Linked DNA regions of Ovis aries. The protein of the gene in region 1 interacts with the protein of each later gene in a pairwise test. Links are inferred from orthologs where the notes say so. Each region holds a gene or a part of one and is shown on either strand. Other genes may lie near its edges. The genes, in order: PRPF31, SSX2IP and CCDC136.

What was found.
Region 2: the proteins of PRPF31 (region 1) and SSX2IP interact in binary tests that used the Homo sapiens proteins (3 or more experiments, as listed by UniProt). The two-hybrid records come from large-scale screens. The link is inferred for Ovis aries from reciprocal best matches to the Homo sapiens genes PRPF31 and SSX2IP.
Region 3: the proteins of PRPF31 (region 1) and CCDC136 interact in binary tests that used the Homo sapiens proteins (3 or more experiments, as listed by UniProt). The two-hybrid records come from large-scale screens. The link is inferred for Ovis aries from reciprocal best matches to the Homo sapiens genes PRPF31 and CCDC136.

The regions. Positions count from the first base shown.
Region 1 is NC_056067.1:64,008,818-64,012,464, forward strand, and holds part of PRPF31 (U4/U6 small nuclear ribonucleoprotein Prp31), read right to left. Parts: intron 3,114-3,647; coding exon 3,016-3,113; intron 2,401-3,015; coding exon 2,294-2,400; intron 1,612-2,293; coding exon 1,442-1,611; intron 274-1,441; coding exon 116-273; intron 1-115. UniProt on the Homo sapiens protein: Involved in pre-mRNA splicing as component of the spliceosome. Required for the assembly of the U4/U5/U6 tri-snRNP complex, one of the building blocks of the spliceosome.
Region 2 is NC_056054.1:61,675,953-61,679,495, reverse strand, and holds the end of SSX2IP (afadin- and alpha-actinin-binding protein), read left to right. Parts: intron 1-1,605; coding exon of another isoform or gene 1,606-1,609; exon of another isoform or gene 1,610-2,107; coding exon 2,108-2,285; 3' UTR 2,286-2,965; downstream 2,966-3,543. UniProt on the Homo sapiens protein: Belongs to an adhesion system, which plays a role in the organization of homotypic, interneuronal and heterotypic cell-cell adherens junctions (AJs).
Region 3 is NC_056057.1:94,459,233-94,462,979, reverse strand, and holds the start of CCDC136 (coiled-coil domain-containing protein 136), read right to left. Parts: upstream 2,223-3,747; 5' UTR 2,134-2,222; coding exon 2,076-2,133; intron 1,285-2,075; coding exon 1,177-1,284; intron 1-1,176. UniProt on the Homo sapiens protein: May play a role in acrosome formation in spermatogenesis and in fertilization.

The DNA.
Region 1 (3,647 bases):
CGGCTCCGGCCTCCTTGCTCCTGCCCCCTTGCACCCGCCCGTGCGGGCCACCCTCTGGCTCCCAGCTCCCGACGCCTGCCGCCAGCAGTGACCCGGGGACCCGGGGGGCACTCACTGGGGGCAGGGACTGCACGATGTCGCTGTGGTAGATGTAGCCGGTGTGGGGCAGCACCGAGGTGGACGAGAAGCCCGACAGGGTCTTGCGCTGCGCCCCAAGCAGCATGATGTTGCAGGCAGGCATCTTGGAGAGGTTGGTCAGGCCGCCAGCCACCCCTGCAGCAGGAGGGGGCAGACATCAGCGAGGTGGCGGGGGGTGGTCCGCCGAGCGCTGCCCCTTCACAGGAGTTTCCAGCCGCAGGCCTGAGGGGGGCCCGCCAGGGAGCGTCAACATGTCCCATCTCGGGGGGGATTCAGAGGGGCTCCGAGAGGCAAAGGGACGTGCCGGAGGCTGCACAGTGAGCCCCTGGCCCACGAGAAACCTGACCCCTCGTCTGGGAAGCCACGTGGGCCTGCCTGTGCTTCAGGGGTTGGTCACCACACCAGCGGCCCGGGTGTGAGCCACCTCTGGGTTCCAAGAGCGTGTCTGCGGGTGCGGGCAACACCCTCCTGGTCTCCAGGGTGGAAACCAAGGCGCGTGACACGGTTTGCCCAAAGACGTGAGGTCAGAGGTGGCGGGGAGTGGGAGAAGCAGGAGTTCATCCTTCCTGCAACCCTGCACACCCCTGCCTCACGGGCAGAACTGTGTTCCCCACAGATTCACTCGCTGAAGTCCTAAGCCCCCACCATCTTAGAATCTGGAGACAGGGCCTTTGCAGGGGTGAGCCAGGTGAGACGACGCCCCCAGGCTGGACCCCCAACCAGGAGAACAGGTGCCCCGATGGGAGGGGAGACCGGGACCCGGGATGACCAGGAGAGGACCCGCGGGCAGGGGCCACCCCCCTGCGGAGAGGCCGCAGAGGCACCCCGCCCCCGACGCCCAGTGCCGCCCTATCCCGAGGACGGATCTCGCCCTCGAAGCCGCGCCTGCGGTGACTGACTCGCTCGCTGGTCTATCACACACGTGCCCGCAAGCGTTCCTCGGCTGAAGGGACCAGGTGCCTGGGGGAGGTGGCGGGGCGCGCCCCGAGGAGGAAGGGACTCACTCTTCCCCATCACGCTGCCAGGACGAGCGCCCCCATCTTGCGGGGAACCCTGGGGCGCAGAGAGCTGACCCATCACCAGGCGGCCCCGGGTCCCCGGCCTCCCCACCGGCCACGCCCCGCCGCCCCTGCAGCTGCCGGGCCCCAGCTCTGCCGGCCGCCACGCTGGTCCGCGATCTCCGGACAGACGAGCAGGTGGGTATGGGGGCCGCGTGCTGGGCCCCAGGACGTGCAGAACACGCCCCGATTCACAGGAAAGGGACAGGCCTCCGCGAAGCCACGGGCGCGGGGCCGGGCCTCACCCATGATCTTGGCGGCGGTGGAGGCCCCGATGATGATGGAGAGGTTGGGGGCGATGAAGGACATCCGCGACTCCACGTACTCGTAGATGCGGTGCTTGGAGGCGTTCAGCTCCAGCGCCATGTCGCAGGCCTCCTCCAGCCGCTCCAGCTCCTCCTCCGACAGCTGCTGTCTGCAGGCAGGGTGGGGACACAGCTGGGGCGGGGCACGGCGGGGGCGGACTGAACGACCCGTGCTGCCGCGGGTCCTGAGTGGTGAGGGGCCCCAACCTCCCCGCCATGTGCGCCTGCGTGCGCGTGCACCTTCGGGACGATTACTAGCTCCGCCAGCCCGCTGCCCGTGGTGGCGCGTCCTCGCCGCTTTCCCTTCTCTGCCCGGCCTGCAGCCGGGCTCTTTGCAGGTGTTCCATCTTTCTGAAACGCTCCCCCCAGCTCCCCAGACCTTGCAGGTCTCGGCCTTGCCAACCAGCGAGGCCGCCATCCAGCTGCTCCCACCAGCTGCCGTCGACCCTGCCCATTCACGGCTTGTCCAGTCAGAGCCCTGCTGTGGGGTGACACGCCTCTGCCCTTCTCGCAGGCCCACCACAGACGTTGAGGGGCAGGGGGAGACCCCGTGTGCCCCTCCTTAGGGGACGCCACTTCTAATTACAGGCCTGCCCTCCGCTGCACCCCTGAGGACCACAGGCTCTGGGAGGAGGCTGGCTTCCCAACGCCGGGGACCCGGGGCCCAGAGCCTGGCCTGCAGGAGGTGCTCGGCGAACACGTGGCAGCGCAGCAACCCGTCCTCCTGACACTACGCCCGTGCCGCGGGGCCCCACGACCGACGGCCGCCGGCTGGGCCCGCCGGGCACGCACCCCTGGGTGGTGGAGGCGGTGACGCTGACGACCATGATGGTGGCGTTGGTCAGGATCTGCTGCAGGTTCTCGTTGTTCTTGCATTTGTCCAGGCTGTTGCCCAGCTCCTGCGGGAGGGGGGGCATGAGGGGGATGAGGGGGATGAGGGGCATGAGGGGGATGAGGCGGAGGCCCGGGGACTCAGGAGGGTCTAGAACCTCTCCTGCAGGGACAGCGGCCGCCCCGTCTGCCCCCAGTTCCTACAAGCCCGAGGCTCAAAGCATCCGCAGTCTGCCCCGGGAGGGGGCTTGCCCAGAAGCAGACGGTCCACCTGCAGAGGACGGGCTGCCCCCACAGGCCTGCAGCCCGCGTCCACTCGCGGTGCAGGTCTGACCGCGTCTCCTCCCCACCCCCATCTGCTCGACTCTCCAGGAGCCTGGGTGCTGGGTGGTGTCCCGCCTTCACGTGCCTGCCCCTCCCGTGGGGCCTGCCCCTCCCGTGGGGCCTGCCCCTCAGACCCGGAGCCTCGGAGGCCAGATTGACCTGATGACCTCTTACACTCGCCTCCTCCCTCTCCCTGAACGCTCCAGGGCCTGTTGCCACCTCGGGGTCTTGGCTTCCCCCAATCTCTGCTCCCTGTTCCCATCCTGCCTCTGGCCCAGAGCTGAGTGACCCCCTGGAGGGTCCAAGAGCAGGGTGCTCTCAACAGGCGTGGTGGCTGGGGGCCCATCCTCTGTGCTCACCTTGACGGTGCGGATGTAGTCCAGGGCGTTGGGGACCAGGGACTCCAGCTCGGGGAATCGCTTTGAGTACTTATCCCGGATGAACTTATGGATGATGTCTGGGGGCACAGGGCGGGCAGGAGCCCGATGAGGGGCAGGCAGACACCGCTGGCTCCCCCAGCACCCATCTGCCCTTCGTCCTGCAGTGAGGGAGCCCCTTGTGGCAGCCGGGCTCACAGACACACAGCACAAAGGCTGCCCCTACTGCAGGGTGTGGCTGTGTGGATCAGTTCTGGTCCATAAGGCGTGAGGGCAAGTCACACAGGCAACTTCCAGGTCACTCTTTTAAGTGAAAAAATGTGCCCTCCTCCTCTCTCCTGATTGTTTTTGCTGATGGGGATGTGGAGGTGATGGCTGGAGGTGGGCAGTCACTTTGTACCATGAAACAGGCGACAAATCAGTGAGACACAGACAGCCTGGGCTCCTCATCCAGACTTTCCCACGGGAGGAAAATACACTTCCTTGTCACGTCACCCTTCTGTTCAGTAGCTGAACCTACGTCTGAGCTAATGCAGGGGCTTCGGGGCAGGGCCCTGGGAGACGCCAGCAGGGAAGGTGGCCTGGGATCCTGCCCGCCCCTCCAGTGGGGACGG
Region 2 (3,543 bases), on another chromosome or scaffold:
AAGCTCAGAGTATATGTGTAGAATGTTATTGAAACCCCCAAATTGACCAATCAAAACTCTGCGTATAGATTTAGATACACATTCTAGTCGCAATTCACAAATGCAGGCAGCCCTCAGAGACGTTGCAGACTCAGCTCCAGACCACTGAGACAAAAGGGAATATCACAACAAAGCGTGCTACTTGAACTTGCCGGCTTCCCAGTGCATGTAAAAGTTGTGTTTGCACTGTATTGTTATCGATTGAGTGTGCAGTAGCAGTGTATTTAGAGAACAGTGTGCCTACCATAATTAAAAAATACTTCATCACTAGGAAACAACCCAAGATTGCCATAAACCCTCAGTTTGTAAAAAATACAATATCTGCAAAGTGTACAGTAAGTTGAAATGCAATAAAATGAAGTATGCTTATAATGCATTCTGTACCTAAAGGAGAATGTAGCCTAGTTGCCTCAATTATATTTATATATTTAGAATTTTTACTTTTTTACATAATTATTTTTAGTTATAACTCCTTGAAGACTGTGTTTAATGAAAAGGCCAACATTTAGTACCTACATTAAGGGTACTGTGTGAGATGCAGTGCCAGTATATGTAAAGCACTTAAAACAGTACTTGGCCCTTTGTAAACCTTCAGTAGCAGCATATAAAAATATATGTAAGCATAAATGGATTATAAAAATGCTTTTCTGTTTCTTGTATCCCAAGAGCTACACTGAACAGTATCAGTGGCATAGAAACAGAATTTTGGAGCTTAAGAAAATTTCGTTAAGCTATTCCCAGTTGCTGGCCTCTGAGGATAAAATAAGAGTCACGTGACTAGTTATCAAGCAAGAAGCTGTGCAGCTTGACATCGGCCTTGAAATTTTTAATTATTTGGTGTATTTGAATTCCTGATCTTCAAGCACTTTGGATCTGGGTTTGTAATAAGATTATGGCAAAATAATTAGGAGTATTTATGCCTAATTTCTATAGCACATCCTCATTCCTCCTTCACTGTAGAGTGGAATGTTACATATCAGCTGTAACTCACGTTACAGCAACGTAACGGCAAAGTAACTCACGTACTAAGTTATGTAGGAAACTTAGTTCACCATTGATCTAATCTCATCTGAGATGGCAGGGATTCTGAATCTGATTTATAAGCAAGTGCCTTTTTTTTTTTTTAAAGCAAATAAGTATAAAATTGTCAGTGTTTTTGGTTTAGAGTTTTAGAATTGGAGCACCTTAATTTTTTTAAGGATTGCCACATTATAAGGTTGAGTTATTAACCAAAGTCACATCAAAAAATGAATATTTAGGGAAAATAAGTTTTATGGAAAAAATTAAGCTATTTAGTTGATAAAAATGTATTGTTCATTGGCTCAGCCCATGATTTGCGAGTAGTCATTTAACTAAATTTCCTTGCTTTGAGGCTGGTTGCAGAGCATACCTCAGACAGTATCTCTGAAGTTAGGGGTCTGTATCAGTGTTCAGACACTTAAATTGTTGTTGTCTGACACTTAAAGTTAATTGAGCATCATCACACGTGCTTAGTGTGTGTTAACTCATTTAGTTTCCACCTCAAGCCTATGAGTTATGGGTTCTAATATTATTTCCACTTTACAGCTGAGGAAGCTGAAGAACAGCAGGGCTTAACTTGCCAGAAATGATGCACTAAGTGTCCAGCTGGGATGTGAACCTAAACCATCTGTTCGGGCCTAGACTCTTCACTACTTTGTAGGCCCTCATTAAATATCTGCATGGCTGAATGGATGGAGGATGCAAGCGTGCATGAACAAATCAATGAGTGAAGAAAGAAAGCATAAAAAGACTAGGACATTGTGGTATGGGAGACATTAGCTTTCAAAATTCACATGTTATCTGTCTGCCTTAGGCTCTGGTTGGGTAGCATCCTTCAGAGTAGACTGAACAGATAAATAAATAGATGGATAGATCAAAGTGATAAATTAGACTAGACCATGTTAAAGCACTTGTATGTTCTTGACCAGTGTGTCCTCAAAATTTTTGTTTAGCATGGGGCAAGGGAGAAATCAGATTTTAGACATTCAGGCATATCTAAGGTATGAAGGGAGGAGATAATAATTAAGATCTGCCTTTCTTTCCCCAGCAGTTCAATCAATGTACTGAATATCACCCCTGAAGAAACTAAGCCAAATCAGGTTGGAAGAGAATGTACAAATCAGAAGTGGAGCATGTCGTCAAGGCCTGGGTCACAGGAAGGTTGCTATAGTGGATGCTCCTTGGCCTACACAAATTCTCATGTAGAGAAGGATGACTTACCTTAGATATATGAACAGGGAGTTTTTTTTTTCATTAACATGGTCATCAGATTTCACATCTGAGTTGAAACAGGGCATGTTATAAAGTCAGTGATCTCTTAATAATTTAAGGTGGTCTGTGTTGTTTGTTTGGACTTCCCTGTTCCTCCCCAAAGAGCTAAAATGTTAAATCTATTTAAAAGGATATAAAAACTTTGGATATGTATTTTTAGTAACAGAAGCATCTGGTTCTGTGAATAAAGGAATGTATACATGTTTGGATGAAAACAAAGCACTAGAATGAGTTTCCTATTATAGATCTTAAAAATAGCACTTTTAGGAAACTGATTATTGTAAATGTTTAATTTTGTCTCATACATAGTTGGCATTGGAAGTTTAGCCTTTCCTTGAATGTATACTGTAGATTTTTAACAAAGCAAGTTCTATATTTATTATGTTTAATGTGATTTGAAATTCCCTCTTTCATATGTTTTAAATAAAGTGAAGTTTATGTATGTTTTGTACATAGATATACATGATTATGTTAAGAGGCTTTAAGATTTAAAGATTTTACACATCCATAATTATAGTATTTCATGCCGGTAAATTTTTATTAGTGATATTCTGTTACAGATGTATGAAAGCCATTGCAGCATTATGTTTAAGAAGTTTTTGAACCCATCTGAGCAATAAATACTCAAAAGCTATTCCATGAAGCCAAGTTCTTTAGATAATTAATATTACTAACATTCCATTTTTGAGATTTCTATAGCATTGGATTTTTTTAATATGAAGGATATTACAATTTTCAAAGGACTGTTGATTTTAGGGTAATAGAGGTAAGATGATTAGAGTACCTTTGGATAAAACAATTTAAGAGTATTGGCTTAGGATACTTCGATGTTAGAAGATACTGATATTTAAGATGTTTGGATGGTGATATTTTCTTTACCAGATGGGTACCCATACTGTAACGCCTGTACCAGCAAAGGCTTTGTATAGTTGCCAATAATTATTTAATAATTTTTCAATGAGATATTTAGTAATAAGGGAATCTGACAACATAAATTATCAGACTTTATAGTCCAGATACTATGATACTCTGGACAGACTTGTTTTATTTTCTGGACTAATTGCATGTTTCTTCATGGTTGTTGTTGTTGTTATTATTTATAGTAAGAATAATGTAAGTGTGGGCCCAAGCCCTTTCCAGGGTTTTCATCAGAAAGCTTTAAGTACCTAACCCTTATTTATCTCTGCATGTAGAAACCTACACATACCCAGT
Region 3 (3,747 bases), on another chromosome or scaffold:
GAATTACAGTTTGGGGGTTTGTACAAAGTTTACAAACGATCCAGGTGGCTTGTGAGAAACTAGCCTTTCCATTATATGAAAGTGTTGCCTGTCAGTAGGCAGAGAAAGAGAACATCTGAATGAAATGATCTAAAGGATTTACTGGACAAACACTGGGGCCCTTCCAAACATATTCCATTGAATAGACTTTTTGAAATTTTCTACCAAGTCCACTTTTCTTTTCCCTGCTGAGTGTCTGGGGGTCTCACTTCCTCCCCTGCTGACCACAAGGCAGTTTTTAGGGGAAAGTCATAGGTTGTACTTGTGTGTAAAAGAAAGCCTGCCATTTTAATGAGTTAAGAAACTGGGGTGTGTTGGTCCCCAGTCTCTGGCTGGCAAGCACCCCCTCCTTTACTGCAATGCAGTTTCTCTAAATAGCAAAACCTTATCTGGATGGCAATTGTTTTAAAATTCTGAGTCTCTGGCCTGGTTTTGTCCAGTAACCACAGCCTAAGATTCATCTGGGACCCCTGGCATCATCTGTCTCCCCGGGGTCAGTGGAGGTGGGGGGGGAAGGGGCAAGATTGACCACACTAGATGTGCACAGGGACCTGGGGACCCTTCACGGGAAGTCCTGGCAACAGGACTGGCACCCTTCTAGCATCCTCCTGGTGTTGGCAACAACTGCCAAGTCGCATGGGTGTTGTGGGAATACACATGTGTTGGGAGGTTGGCCTTTTCAGCAGCCCCCTTCCCAGGCTCCCTCTTTCAGGCAGTAAGATAGCCTAGAGAACCAAAGCCACCAGGCTTCCATTTGAAGTCAGTGGTGGCAGCACCAGAAAGACAGTTCACGTGCTCACTTCCCTGCTTTTCAAAATAAGAGACAGCTTGGGATCTGGGTCGGGAGGCAGAGAGAACAAACCCCCTGCTGAAAGGCTGCTTCAAAGCTCTGTCCAAAGAGGCCTCTTTCTCTGTCTGGCAGCTCCCTCGGGACACACAACCTGGTTAGCTGGTGATTAGAACCCCAAAAGGATGTACCTTGAACTTCCCTCAAAACCTGAGCCCTGAGGAGGGCTAGCGGGTGCTGAGCTGAACTAGGGGGAAGGTGTGTGTCCTGGCTCAGAGTTCTGGAGGGTCAGAGGGAGGAAGGAAAATTGGGTGAGGGAGAAGGAAAGAAAGCTTTACAGGAAAACTCACCCTCCATAGCTTGCATCCCCCGCCGTTCCAAAGACCCCCAGCGTTGGCCCTTCTTCCTCTCACAACCCTCCGACACCTCATAGGAGCCTAAAGTGGTCACTGTGGGTCCTGTGAGCAAGGAGAGAGAGGGATTGTGGGGTGCCAGGGTGGCTGGGGTGAGGCAGGGAGGGGAAGGGACACACCTTCTAGCCCTTCGGAGCCCTGGGGGTTTTTATCCCGGTGGAAGTACTTGGCTCACTCTGCCAGGCACTGCGACTCCTCTCCCCAAGCTGCCCCTTAGGCTGGGCCTCTGGGGACCCCGCCCTGCCCTGCCCATCCTCCTCTGCAACCTCTGTTCCAGGCTCCTCTCCCTCGCACAGGTAGAAAGGGTGTGTGTCTCTTTAGCCCAGAGGGGACAGAGGGGGAAGATGGACAAGGATGGCAGAGGGTGGGAGCAAGTAAAGAGGCTGAAAGGGTGAGGTAGTGCGCCTAAGGGGAAGGTGGGGAGGGGGCCGGCGATGGCTGGCGGGGGTCGTGTGGACCGGACCCCCTCCCCTCCCCTCCATCTCTCCCTAGACTTCGTCCACCCCACCCGCGCCCCGCGCTCAGAAGCTTTAGGGGTGCGAGCGGGTGCAGGATCTATAGAGCCCCTAGGGCTGGAAGCAGTATGAGGCTGGAGAGTCGAGATTGAGAAGGCTCAGGGCAGGGAATGCCAAGGAGGATGCGGCCGGTGTGGGGAAGACCCAGCCGGGAAAGATGGAGACCGGGCCCGGGTGGGGGGCGGGAGGGAGGGAGGAGGAAGACTTCGGCCGTCAAGGTGGGGAGTAGCGGAGGGGGGAGAGGCCGTGGGGGTCTGGGGGGAGGAGAGATGGAGAAGAGGAAGGAGAGGCAGTGGAGAGGTGAAGGAGGGGCGCTCTGACCTGGGCCCGGGCAGCTCCAGCCCGAGGCGCCCGCGCCGGCCCCGGCGCCCGCCTCCATGGCCGCTCTCGCCACCGCCGCTGCCGCTGCCGCCGCCGCCGCCGCCGCCGCCGCCGCCGCCGCCGCGAGGCCGGGTACCGGAGCCGGGTGCGCAGGGGAGGGAGGGCGGGCCGGCCGAGGGGGCGGGGCCTGGCCGGGCCACCTGACACCGCCCCCGCCGCCGCCCGCCCGGAAGCCGGTCGGCCGCCGCAGCTCCCGAGTTCCCCGAGGCCGAGCGAGCGGGAGATGGGAGGAGACCCGCGCGGAGAGTGCGAGCAGCCAGGAGTCGGCTGCGCGAGGAGACCCCCTCTGCTCCGTGTGCCAGGATCCCGTCTAGCTCGGTGATGAGGCAGGAAAACCAAAAGGATGGACGGATCCTCCCGGCTTGTTTCCTGCAAACACGCGGATGCTTTTCCACTCCCCTGGCTCCCTATGGCGCAGGGCGCGCCCCCCAGCTCTGCAGTCGGCGCGGACCCCGGCCACCCGCCCCAGAACTGCGTGAGGGCAGGAGCGGGGAAACTGAGGCCAGGATACGTGAACTCGGGGCCCTGATCCCTCTGTTGTCCGTGCGTGCGCCCCTCACCAAGCCAGAAGCAGGGACCCTCTTAGGAGGGGCGGCTCCGTGGCCCTACACTGTCCTTAGTGTCCGAAGGCCGCCTTTCTCCACCGCTTGCCTTCCCACGAGCCCTACTCCCGGTGGGCTGCGAGAATGACCCCCACTCATCATGCACGCATAGCCTGTTCAGGGTGGGCACTGCTGATTTACAGTTAAAAATGGGAGATGTGAAACTTACGCGGGCTTATTTCACTTAACTTCATCATTCATTCAAGGAACGTCTACCAGGGGCCAGGTCTTGAAGAAACAATTGTTCTCACATCTCTGAAGGTCTTAGCTAGGAAAAATATGGGTACACTTGAGAACTGGGGCGTCCCAGGACATCCAGAAAAGCACTGGGAGATTCCTAAGCCAGGGACACACACCAATCCTTTCTCTCACCCATCCACTCACAAGGTCTTTGGCATATATTGTCTTTGTCACCGCCACAGGCTCCCAGGTTCACGAGCCCTCCATATTCTTCAGGGGAGAACCTTTCTTCACCTGGACATCCCCTACTTACCCTTCAACACTCAGCAGGGAGTCATCCCTAGGCAGCCCTTCCTGATGCCCCCTCCCACCCCATTATACACACCCTCTCCTCCTTTCTCTCTAGGGCATTGCCAGTCACTCAGGGTTGTCAAGGTCAGATTTTCAATTTTCTGTCTGCCCATTTTCTTGAAGACTGGGAGTTAACATGGTCTTCTGTATATCTCTGCTGTTGCTGCGGCTGCTAAGTCACTTCAGTCATGTCCGACTGTGCGACCCCATAGACAGCAGCCCACCAGGCTCCCCCGTCCCTGGGATTCTCAAGGCAAGAACACTGGAGTGGGTTGCCATTTCCTTCTCCAATGCATGAAAGTGAAGAGTGAAAGTGAAGTTGCTCAGTCGTGTCCGACTCTTAGCAACCCCATGGACTACAGCCCACCAGGCTCCTGTGTCCATGGGATTTCCCAGGCAAGAGTACTGGAGTGGGGTGCCATTGCCTTCTCCTAGCATCTGACAAATTCTCTTACACGTAGAATGAATGAGTAAAGGTA